2 linked regions of the Drosophila melanogaster genome follow. The protein of the gene in region 2 interacts with the protein of the main gene of each other region in a pairwise test. Each region holds a gene or a part of one and is shown on either strand. Other genes may lie near its edges. The genes, in order: CG17109 and Mal-B2.

Region 1 (6,100 bases), on a different chromosome or scaffold from region 2:
CTCTGTACTACGCTGAACGGACTCTTTGGCGTGAGTAGGATTGACTCATACAAACAATTTAAGCTAGCCATGTTTTCCTGCAGATCTTCGTTTCAAGATCAGCGGAACTGCTGGTCACGGATCACTGTTGCTCCCGAATACTGCTGGCGAGAAGCTGAACTATGTGGTAGGCAAAATGATGGAGTTCCGCAAATCGCAAGTGCAAAAACTAGCTGACGACTCATCCCTCGAAATTGGTGATGTGACCACTGTGAATCTCACCCAACTGAGGGGCGGAGTCCAGAGCAACGTGGTTCCCCCATTGCTGGAAGCTGTATTTGATATCCGCATTGCCGTCACCGTGGATATCCCTGCCTTTGAGAAGCAGATTCGCGACTGGTGCGAGGAGGCTGGCGGCGGCATTGAACTGGAGTTTGAGATGAAAAACCCCTTTGTGGAGCCAACAAAGATTGACTCGTCGAATGCCTACTGGCTGGCCTTTAAGAAAGCACTCGATGACCTGTAAGGATGAGAAGCTCTGACAAAAGGCATGGCTCTGATATCCTTTCTCCTTGTTTCTTTCAGTGGCCTCAAGACACGGGTTCGTGTTTTCCCCGGCGCCACGGACAGTCGTTATATTCGCTACGCAGGCATTCCAGCTCTAGGATTCTCGCCCATTAACAACACCCCCATCCTGCTGCACGACCACGATGAATTCCTGAAAGCCGATACCTATTTGCACGGCATTGAGGTTTACAAGAAGCTCATTCCTGCCGTAGCTGATGCTTAGCGAACTCAATTCAATTATGAAATAATGCATTTAATGCTTACTTGTCGATGTTTATTGTAATAACTTTAAACAAGCAGGCTTATAAAAACCCATTTAAATAAACAATGTATGAATAAATAAGCCAGTCCATAGTCCATACCATTAATGGTGAGCAAAAAAAGGAAATTTAAATGAAAATGAATAAGTTTATGGTTTACTATTATGGCTTTGCTAGATAACATTAAGCTCTTAGCGCAAAGATGAAAATCCGCAAATTGTGGGCTCTTCTAATCAAGTAGCTTAAAGTCAACAACTGATAATGCCATTAAGTCAATCCACACTCAGACTTCAAACCAAACAGCACGGTGGATTACAAGTCAGTTCCTTTAGAACCACGGGGCATTCAACTCAAAATGTGCACTTGCACGGAACAATGGAAGAACGACGAGGAAATAATCATTTTCCAGGAGTATTTGCGCATTCCCTCGGTGCATCCAGACGTGGACTACAGTAAGGATTTGTTTTTCCGCTCCTTGGATTTTGTTATCCCTATTTCCCTTGCAGCTGCATGCGTGGAGTTCCTAAAACGCCAGGCTAACAAACTTAATCTCCGCGTGGACGTGGTGTATCCTGTTGTGCCTTCGAAACCGGTGGTGATTATGAAGTGGCTGGGCAAGCATCCCGAGCTGAAATCCATTATATTGAACTCACACATGGACGTGGTGCCCGTGTTTCCCGAAAAGTGGACCCATGAGCCGTTTGGTGCCCACATAGACGCCCAAGGCCGGATTTATGCACGCGGTGCCCAGGACATGAAGTCCGTGGGATGTCAGTACATGGCTGCGGTCCGTGCACTCAAAGCCAGTGGCTATCAGCCAAAAAGGACCGTATATTTGACTTTTGTGCCCGACGAGGAAACTGGCGGACACATGGGCATGGCTGAATTCGTCAAGGGTGATTACTTCAAAGCCATGAATGTGGGCTTTAGCCTGGACGAGGGCATCGCCAGTGAAGATGACACTTATCCTGTATTTTACGCCGAGCGTACATTGTGGCGTAAGTCTTCCATTTGCATCAGTAGCAATATATTCTGATTCATTTTATACCCCTGCAGAACTTCGATTTAAATTCAGTGGCACTTCAGGTCATGGATCGCTGCTGCACAAAAGCACGGCTGGCGAAAAGTTTCACTTTGTGATGGATAAGCTGATGAAGTTCCGAGAAACCCAGGTCAAGCTACTGGCCGAGGACTCCTCCTTGCAGTCCGGTGATGTGACCACTTTGAACCTGACCCAACTCAACGGTGGCGTCCAAAGCAATGTGGTTCCCCCCGTACTAGAAGCCACTTTTGATATTCGCATAGCCATCAACCAGAATGCCGATGCAATGGAGAATCAGATTCGCGAGTGGTGCAACGAAGTCGGTGGTGGAGTGGAACTGGATTTCACGCTGAAGTGCCCCTCGGTGGTGACCAAGATAGACGACTCCAATCCCTACTGGCTGGGCTTCAAAAAGGGACTAGATGAACTGTAGGTAAACAAAGATTGTGTAGTTTTCACTTCATAATTTGTTGAAATTTTCCAGAGGTTTGATCACCCATACACGAGTTTTCCCCGGCGCCACCGATAGCTTCTACGTCCGGCAAGTGGGAATTCCCGCTCTGGGATTTTCACCCATCAACAACACCCCGGTGCTGCTGCACAATCATGATGAATATTTGCGGGCCGACACATATCTGCACGGAATTCAGGTGTACAGGAAGCTCATCCCCTCTATTGCTGATTCATAAAATGTTCAAGCGAAGTTCCACTCATAAATGGAAATCAATATGCTACAATTGGTCTTATCGCTTATGAGTAATGTTTTTGGCTCGATGAGTGTAGGACCAAAATTAAATGTTTAAATGGTGTGACTACTACAAATCATATCTGTTTCTAAACAAATGAAAATCACACACTGATAACACGAGTTTCAGAAGAGAGTTTTTGTCATGGACTTTGCCCTCATTCAATATCCAATAAATCGTCACAACTATTGATATCGTTCTCAAAAACTAACGTAACCTTCACGTAAAGGGGTTGTATTTTATATATACATCATAATTATCAATAATTACATTAATATGTATTCTATTTTCTTATCAAACCAAATACAAATTATAATAACCCATTTTTTCGCAGACCATAAACGACGGTGGTTGAGTTTTATTGGTGTTATGTGAACTTTATCGAATTGGCTACCGTTTGCTATTAGACATTTGTTTTGGTAGAATTTTGTACAAGAATATGTGCTGTTATCATTTCTATAACAACCGAGTTTGATAACGAACTCATTATTTGATAATAATACGAAGCCAAGGCCATAAAACCAAAATCACCCAACACACAAAAATTTCTGTATAAGTTCATTTTTTGCCAACTGCGGCACATTCGAGTTTGGTGACTGGCAGCGAAAACATATCCACAAAATGAGCACCGAAAAGTGGGAGGACAACGAGGAAATCAAAATATTCCGCGAATATTTGCGCATAGCTACGGTGCAGCCAAATGTGGATTACAGTAAGGATTCCCCAAGGAATTCACAGAAGAGCACTACTCATGTACATCTTAACTTCTAGCCGAATGTGTGGAGTTCCTGAAAAGGCAGGCTCACAGCCTGGATCTTCCCGTGGATGTTATATATCCAGTGGAGAAGAAGCCTGTGGTGATCATCAAGTGGTTGGGCACCGAACCGGAGCTGCCCTCCGTCATTCTCAACTCGCACATGGATGTGGTGCCGGTGTTCCGTGACAAGTGGACCCACGATCCCTTCGCTGCCGATATCGATGAGGAGGGCAGGATCTTTGCGCGCGGTACTCAGGACATGAAGTCGGTGGGCACAGGATATCTGGGTGCCATCCGCCTGCTTAAGGCAAGTGGTGTCCAGCCCAAGCGCAATTTCTTCGTGACCTTTGTGCCCGATGAGGAGATCGGCGGCGAGCTGGGCATGCAGGAGTTCGTCAAAACGGAATACTACAGCAACATGAATGTTGGTTTCAGTCTGGACGAGGGCGGCACCAGTGAAATAGATCTGTTCTATGTCTTTTATGCCGAACGTATGCGATGGGGTGAGTAATCCTTGAGACACATCTAGGACTAGAATCTAAACTATATCCCCTCTTTGGCAGGTCTCAAGCTGAATTTCAGTGGAACCTCTGGACACGGCTCCATGTTGCTGCCCAGCACTGCCGGCGTGAAACTGAACTATGTGCTCAACAAGCTGACGGAGTTCCGCGAATCGCAGGTTCAGAGGCTGGCCAATGATCAGACAATCAACATCGGTGATGTGACAACTATCAATCTCACCCAGCTGAGCGGTGGAGTCCAGAGCAATGTGGTGCCTCCTCATTTCGAGGCTGTCTTCGACATGCGTCTGTCCATCACCCTGGATGTGGTTGCCTTTGAGAAACAGATCCACGATTGGTGCGAGGAGGCAGGTGGCGGCATCGAGATCTCCTTCGACGAGAAGGAACCCTACGTGGCACCCACAAAGATCGACGACTCCAATCCATTCTGGCTGGCTTTCAAGGCTGCCACCGATGAACTGTAAGTCTGAATCGAATGCTCAACAATGCGTGTTCCTAATACGATTTGTATGTTTATAGTGGCCTTAAGATCTACCCCATTGTCTGCCCCGGTGCCACCGACAGCAGGAACATTCGAGCTCAGGGCATTCCAGCCTTGGGATTCTCACCCATCAAAAATACCACCATGCGCATCCATGATCACGATGAGTTCTTGGGCGCCGAAACTTATTTGAAGGGCATTCAAATATACAAGAAAATTTTGGGCAACCTAGCGAATGTCTAAAAACTAAATCGAAATAATACATGAAAACCTTATCAAAATAAAGATTGATGATTTTGTTATAAGTTAGTACAAAACTTCCTGGCCTTTTATCTTATCTCAACGAATACCTTAATCAACTTAAGATCTGAAGAATACAACTTGCTATCCTTGCGACAGCAAGTAGATAATGGATGTATCTACATTTTGCTGTATCATCATAGATAGCAAGTTGGAAGACTGGGAAGCCCATTAAATCCAAAATAATCACTTGATTTTTTCAAATCGAAGGTCATCAATCAAAGCTTCGTCATTTTAATTGAATTTGTCATAATTTTACGATATGATGGAAAATATTGAAAAATACATGACAACTTACCAAGAACTTGAGGTTTCAAAGGTTGAGGTTGCATAGATAATACGCAATGAACTCATTTCTGTGTAAGTTGCATAGATAATACATAATGAACTATTTGCCGCTTAGAAAAGTTACTTATTCGGATAATAGACGTGTGGGTTTTGCAGATAAGGGCGTTACTATCGCAACCACATACACTTTTGATAAGCATTTAAATTCCTTGACCATAAACATGAAAGCAATCAGTGTGATTATAAAAGCACAGACAATCTTTGTTGCAGCTCAGTTGCTGATGACAGAAGAGTGTCGAAATGAGCTCGGAAAAGTGGGAAAACAATGAGGAAATTAAGATTTTCCGGGAATACTTGCGTATACCAACGGTGCATCCAGATGTTGACTATAGTGAGGACTTAATTTTAATTCTTTAAAGTTTGCGTTATAATGTCTTTCAATGTCTAGCTGCCTGTGTGGAGTTCCTGAAACGTCAGGCTAGCTCCCTAAATCTTCCTGTTGAAGTGGTTTATCCTGCTGTTCAAACGAAGCCCGTTGTGATCATCAAGTGGGAAGGAAGTCAACCCGAACTATCGTCCATTGTTCTCAACTCTCACACGGATGTGGTGCCAGTTTTTCGAGAGAAGTGGACCCATGAACCCTTCTCCGCCGATATTGATGAAGAGGGTAGGATCTTTGCACGGGGTACTCAGGACATGAAATCGGTGGGCACTCAGTATCTAGGAGCGATTCGCCTGCTGAAAGCTAGTGGCTTCAAACCAAAAAGGAATTTGTATGTGACCTTTGTTCCCGACGAAGAGACTGGTGGTCATCTGGGCATGGCGGAGTTTGTTAAGACGGATTACTACAAGAAAATGAACGCGGGATTCAGCCTGGACGAAGGCGCCACTAGTGAAAGTGACGTTCATCATTTGTTCTACGCCGAACGTTTGCGATGGGGTAAGTTCCATAAGGATGATGATGATGGATTGGGGACATTACCGTTTCGCTTTATGCAGGACTCAAGCTGAAAGTCAGTGGAACTTCTGGTCATGGTTCCCTTTTGCTACCCAATACGGCAGGAGTAAAACTGAACTATCTGGTCAACAAACTGACTGAATTCCGCACCTCGCAAGTGGAGAACCTTGCGAGAGATTCCAGCCTCAGCAAGGGCGATGT
Region 2 (5,023 bases):
AAATCTGTGGACGCCATGAATATGCTGCTGATGACATTGCCAGGAATTGGTATTACTTATAATGTGGGTACAGAACACTCATTATTAAAGGATAATTTTATACAGACTTTCCATTACTTTAGGGCGAGGAGTTGGGCATGACTGACTACAGGGACATCAGCTGGAGCGATACGGTGGATCAGCCCGCTTGTGAGGCTGGAATCGACAACTACAAGACGATTTCTAGAGATCCTGAGCGAACTCCCATGCAATGGAGTAGTGATGTGAATGCAGGATTCTCCTCCGCCGATCGCACTTGGTTGCCTGTCAATCCGAATTATAAGGAACTTAATCTTCGGAATCAGCAGCAGGCGAGGCGAAGTCATTACAAGATCTATCAGTCCCTTCTGAAGCTCAGACAACTGCCAGTTCTGAAGAACGGATCCTTTGTTCCAGAAGTGGTTAATCGCAGGGTCTTCGCTTTCAAGCGGTAAGTAGGGAATGGATATTGGCGTTGTATTGACATTTTAATGTATTTTGACCTTTATTCTATATTATCAGAGAACTGAAGAACGAGCACACTCTGCTGACCATTGTGAACGTGAGCAACCGCACTGAACTGGTTGACATCGCGGACTTTATAGAACAGCCCAATCGATTGAGTGTCCTTGTGGCGGGAGTGGACTCGCAACACCGGGTGGGGGATCGACTTAAGGCCGAGACAATTGAATTGGCGCCCAACGAGGGATTAGTTATTCAGCTGAATAAGCGAAAGTAAGCGGCGAACTACTTGGAATTCCACATTAAAGTACGAGGAAACTTTCCATTTGCCAACCAGCCGTGCTTTTCTATTTTCGTATTTAAATGTATCTCACAGGGGCCATCTAATCGAGTTTCCATTTCATTTGACAGCGGAACACATTTCCATTTACATTAGCGCATTGCAAACATTTTAATTGAATTGAGAGCACTTGGTGTCGGACCTTCTACTTCTCACTTTGGGGCACTTTCCCTGTACTGTTTGGCCTCGACTTTAATTCCAAGTCGTAATTCATAATTGTCGTCAGGTTTTTTGGCCCTTTTCGGGGGCTCAGGCCGCTTGACAAATGGTTGCCGAATTTAATTAAATTCCCACTTAGCGGTGGTTGACGACCTTAAAATTTGCTTTGATTTTAATTCTCACTGCAATTGTATGCTATAAACTAGTTGATTGGTAGGTGTTCTCAAAGCAAAGGCATTATTCAAAATTTATGACAATGTTCTGATGTTATCTCGTATTTGGTTCGTTTTTGCGTTGTTTCTGTGATTACACTTGACAATGTGAAATTTTAATTTCTCATCAATTCACTATTTTACAGTACAGTGAAAGAAAATTTGCATACTACATACCACAATACAGGCAAAGAAGAAACAAAGTTTAAATAAATAATTGCCTACTCTCTAAGGCTTCAATGGAATTAATTTATAAACAAAAAATATATTTTATTTAAAACTTATATATATTAATAAAATTACTTAAAACTCTCGAGATTTTTATTTGCCACCTGAAAGTTCTGTACATTGTGATCTTCTCCAATCGTCTGTGGATCCAAAGCTCTCGAACAGCTGTTGGCATCCAATTCCCCAAAAGCTTTGAGTTGATCGCCGCCGGCAGATGCTAAAAACGCATCGAGAATTATAATTGTGTTCAGTTTATTTTAATTTCCTTGAGGTGAGCATAGTGATTTTGGTCGGCGAAGTGTCTATAAAAAGCACCTAGTTTTCCACCGATTGGCTTGGCAAGTGCAGAATGCCGTAAAATTGGGAAAAACAATTTTGTTTACTCATTTAATTTGCACCGCAATTTGTTTTGATTGGTGCTGATAAAAATCTGACAACAAATTATAGCTTTAATACGACTGCTGATAATTAGACAAAGACTAATGCAAAAATTATTTTAATTATATGGTAGAATCGCTTTAAAAGTGCCTGTCGCACTGCCAACTCTCGAGCACATTAAATAGAATACCTCGCCGCAATGCGCGCTCCACTCATCCAAATCCTTCTTTTTAGTCTACTAAACTCCGGCTCCATTATGGCCGGTCTGGTTAAGAGCGATACGGAGGACTTTATCGACTGGTGGCCGCACACGGTGTTCTATCAGATCTACCCGAGGTCATTCAAGGACAGCAATGGCGATGGTATCGGCGATTTGAAAGGAATCACCTCCAAGCTGCGCTATCTGGCGGACACTGGCATCACGGCCACCTGGTTGAGTCCCATTTTTCAGTCGCCCATGATTGACTTTGGCTATGATATATCGGATTACAAGGCAATCCAGCCGGAGTATGGCACCATGCAGGATTTCGAGGAGCTGATCGACACGGCTTTCGAGCTGGGCATCAAGGTTGTTCTGGACTTTGTGCCGAATCACAGCTCGGATCAGCATGAGTGGTTCAAGAAGTCTGCGGCAAGGGAGCCGGGTTACGAGGATTTCTATGTGTGGCACGATGGCATCGTCCAGGAGAATGGCACTCGGGTGCCACCCAACAACTGGCCATCGGTGTTCTACGGATCCGCTTGGGAGTGGCACGAAGGTCGTGAGCAGTATTACCTGCACCAGTTCACCAAGGAGCAGCCGGACTTGAACTATCGCAATCCCAAAGTGGTTCAGGCCATGGATGATGTGTTGCTTTTCTGGCTCAACAAGGGCGTAGCTGGTTTCCGCATCGATGCAGTGAATCATTTGTTTGAGGACGAATCTCTTAAAGATGAGCCATTGAGTGGCAAAACAACGGATTCACTTTCCTATGACTACACTAAGCACATCTACTCGAGAGATCTGCCAGAAGTCTTGGAAATGATTCATCACTGGAGGCAACTGCTGGATGACTTTAGTGCCAAGCACCCCGAAAGACCAACACGCATCATGATGACGGAGGCGTACGCAGGACTAACCCAGCTGGCGGACTACTACGAGGATTCCAACGGGGTTCGGGGCTCCCATCTGCCCTTCAACTTTCACTTTATCACGGATGTCAAAGGCGACTCGGATGCGCGTGACTATGTCTACAACGTGGAGAAGTGGCTGATCTACATGCCACGCGGGCACGCGGCCAACTGGGTCATGGGCAACCACGACAACCCCCGAGTCGCTTCTCGATTCGGTCCAGCCAGTGTGGACGCCATGAACATGCTACTGCTCACCCTTCCCGGTGTCGCCGTCACTTATAATGTGAGATTTTGTTGCTGACTTGGTTGGTTGCTTGTGGTCCTTTGGCTTTACCCCTACACTTTTCAGGGCGAGGAGCTGGGCATGGTGGACTACCGCGAACTGAGCTGGGAGGAAACGGTGGATCCACCGGCCAGAAATGTTGGAGAGAAGCTATACCAGGAGGTCTCCCGTGACCCAGTCCGAACACCGTTCCAGTGGAATAACGAGACCAATGCTGGTAAGCCATTGATATTATTATTATAATTTAAATATGTCTCATTAACTTTTTCGCACAGGTTTTTCCACTGCCGCCAAAACCTGGCTGCCTGTCCACCCGAACTACCTCGAGCTCAACCTTGAGGCCCAGAAGGTGGCCAACAGGAGCCATTACCAGGTCTACAAGGATCTGCTTGAGCTGCGAAAATCGGCCATTATGCGTGTGGGCCGATTTAATATTGAACCCCTTACTCGTTGGGTGTTTGCCTTTAAGCGGTAGATGAACGAAATTTGCCCTTAAGAGACATTGATTAATTGGAAAACCGTTTTGCAGGTCCTATCCCAATTTTGAGTCGATAATTACCGTGATAAATGTGAGCGACAAGGAGCAGTTGGTGGATCTCTCAGAGTTTCTTAGCCAGCCTAAGAAACTAGTGGTTGAAGTTTCCGGCGTGGATTCCAAATATCAACCTGGGTAAGTTTGTTCCTTTGAATTGTGGTCACTCATTTCCCGCTTTGCACCGTAAAAAACAATCGTAAAAAGCTAAATAATATTCGAAGAACATCAATGTAGAGTTCCCTTAAATCTCAATGTCCCTTTTACCATTTTCTTTCTGTATTCCCGCTGCAGTCAATCCCTCGCCGCAAGTGCATTGCTCCTGGCCGCCCGTGAGGGTCTCGTCTGTCGGCTGGTCTAGCCGGGAATGGGATTAGAGGAATTACCAGCTGATGGCGGCAAACTTTGCTCTTTAATTGCATTTCCAGTTCAAAATGTCACGCGATTGAATACATAATGGGGGGAAAATTAATGACCCTCGAGCTGGTACATTTTTTCGTTTGACTCGATTGAATTGAACGCTGTCCAGTGGTAATGAAGGCAAAGGGGGCAGTGTGGTCCGGATCCTGTCCGGAAAAAAGTGGCCACAACGTCGCCTGTTCCTGGCAACTTGCCCAGAACACTTGGCCGCTGTTGATGTTGGTGTTTCATTCTTGCCCGGTCACTGTAATTTTTCATGTATGGAGGAAGAACACACACAGGAACCAAGAAAGATTTATGGAACTGGTGCAGAATCCTCCCACCCATGCGGAAATGTCGCAAGGACGGCACAAAATATAATACCACATGCAAAAGTTTTTAAATGTCCTTTAATAACTGAATTTAATATTTGTGAGTGGCAACTATGGCAAACTTGTTGGAAACTTTTGATTGCTCGATGCTTGTACAAATATTTTGCCAGCAAATGGAAGTTGTTTGGATTAGAAGTTAATAGTTGCGAATGGCCGGAAAATTACAAAAATGTTGTTAACTTCCATGCAATTTCATTAATTTTCCGTTAGCTCGAAAATGAGAAAACTACTACTATTTAAATAGCACAGCGATTAAGTTTCTTTCTTAAACCTTTAATCCCAGTTATTTTCAGTAAAACTTAAAATCATTAAGCGATATGTATCCATTCAGTTCGACAAACGATATAATTAAGAATTGCTCGGCTCTTAACCGATTCACACGAAATTTAAAAATTTCATTACCCATACGCCACGTTGAACCGGATCTCTCATCGGATTAAAAGTATATATATTTTGCTGTCTATATGCCCCGCTGCGTTTCATTTCGTTCTGCTCTTAACCCAGTCT

Evidence for each region.
Region 1: the proteins of Mal-B2 (region 2) and CG17109 interact in a two-hybrid assay, tested with the Drosophila melanogaster proteins (one large-scale study listed by BioGRID).

What each region holds. Positions count from the first base shown.
Region 1 is NT_033777.3:23,092,518-23,098,617, forward strand, and holds CG17109 (uncharacterized protein), read left to right. Parts: upstream 1-3,172; 5' UTR 3,173-3,215; coding exon 3,216-3,306; intron 3,307-3,365; coding exon 3,366-3,854; intron 3,855-3,914; coding exon 3,915-4,332; intron 4,333-4,391; coding exon 4,392-4,596; 3' UTR 4,597-4,723; downstream 4,724-6,100. Other genes in the region: CG6726 (uncharacterized protein), read left to right, coding at 1-30, 84-501, 565-769; CG17110 (uncharacterized protein), read left to right, coding at 1,162-1,258, 1,313-1,804, 1,863-2,277, 2,333-2,537; CG6733 (uncharacterized protein), read left to right, coding at 5,242-5,332, 5,390-5,881, 5,941-6,100.
Region 2 is NT_033779.5:11,848,359-11,853,381, forward strand, and holds Mal-B2 (maltase B2), read left to right. Parts: upstream 1-1,948; 5' UTR 1,949-1,996; coding exon 1,997-3,193; intron 3,194-3,259; coding exon 3,260-3,410; intron 3,411-3,468; coding exon 3,469-3,664; intron 3,665-3,722; coding exon 3,723-3,863; intron 3,864-4,019; coding exon 4,020-4,086; 3' UTR 4,087-4,523; downstream 4,524-5,023. Other genes in the region: Mal-B1 (maltase B1), read left to right, coding at 1-63, 123-469, 541-757.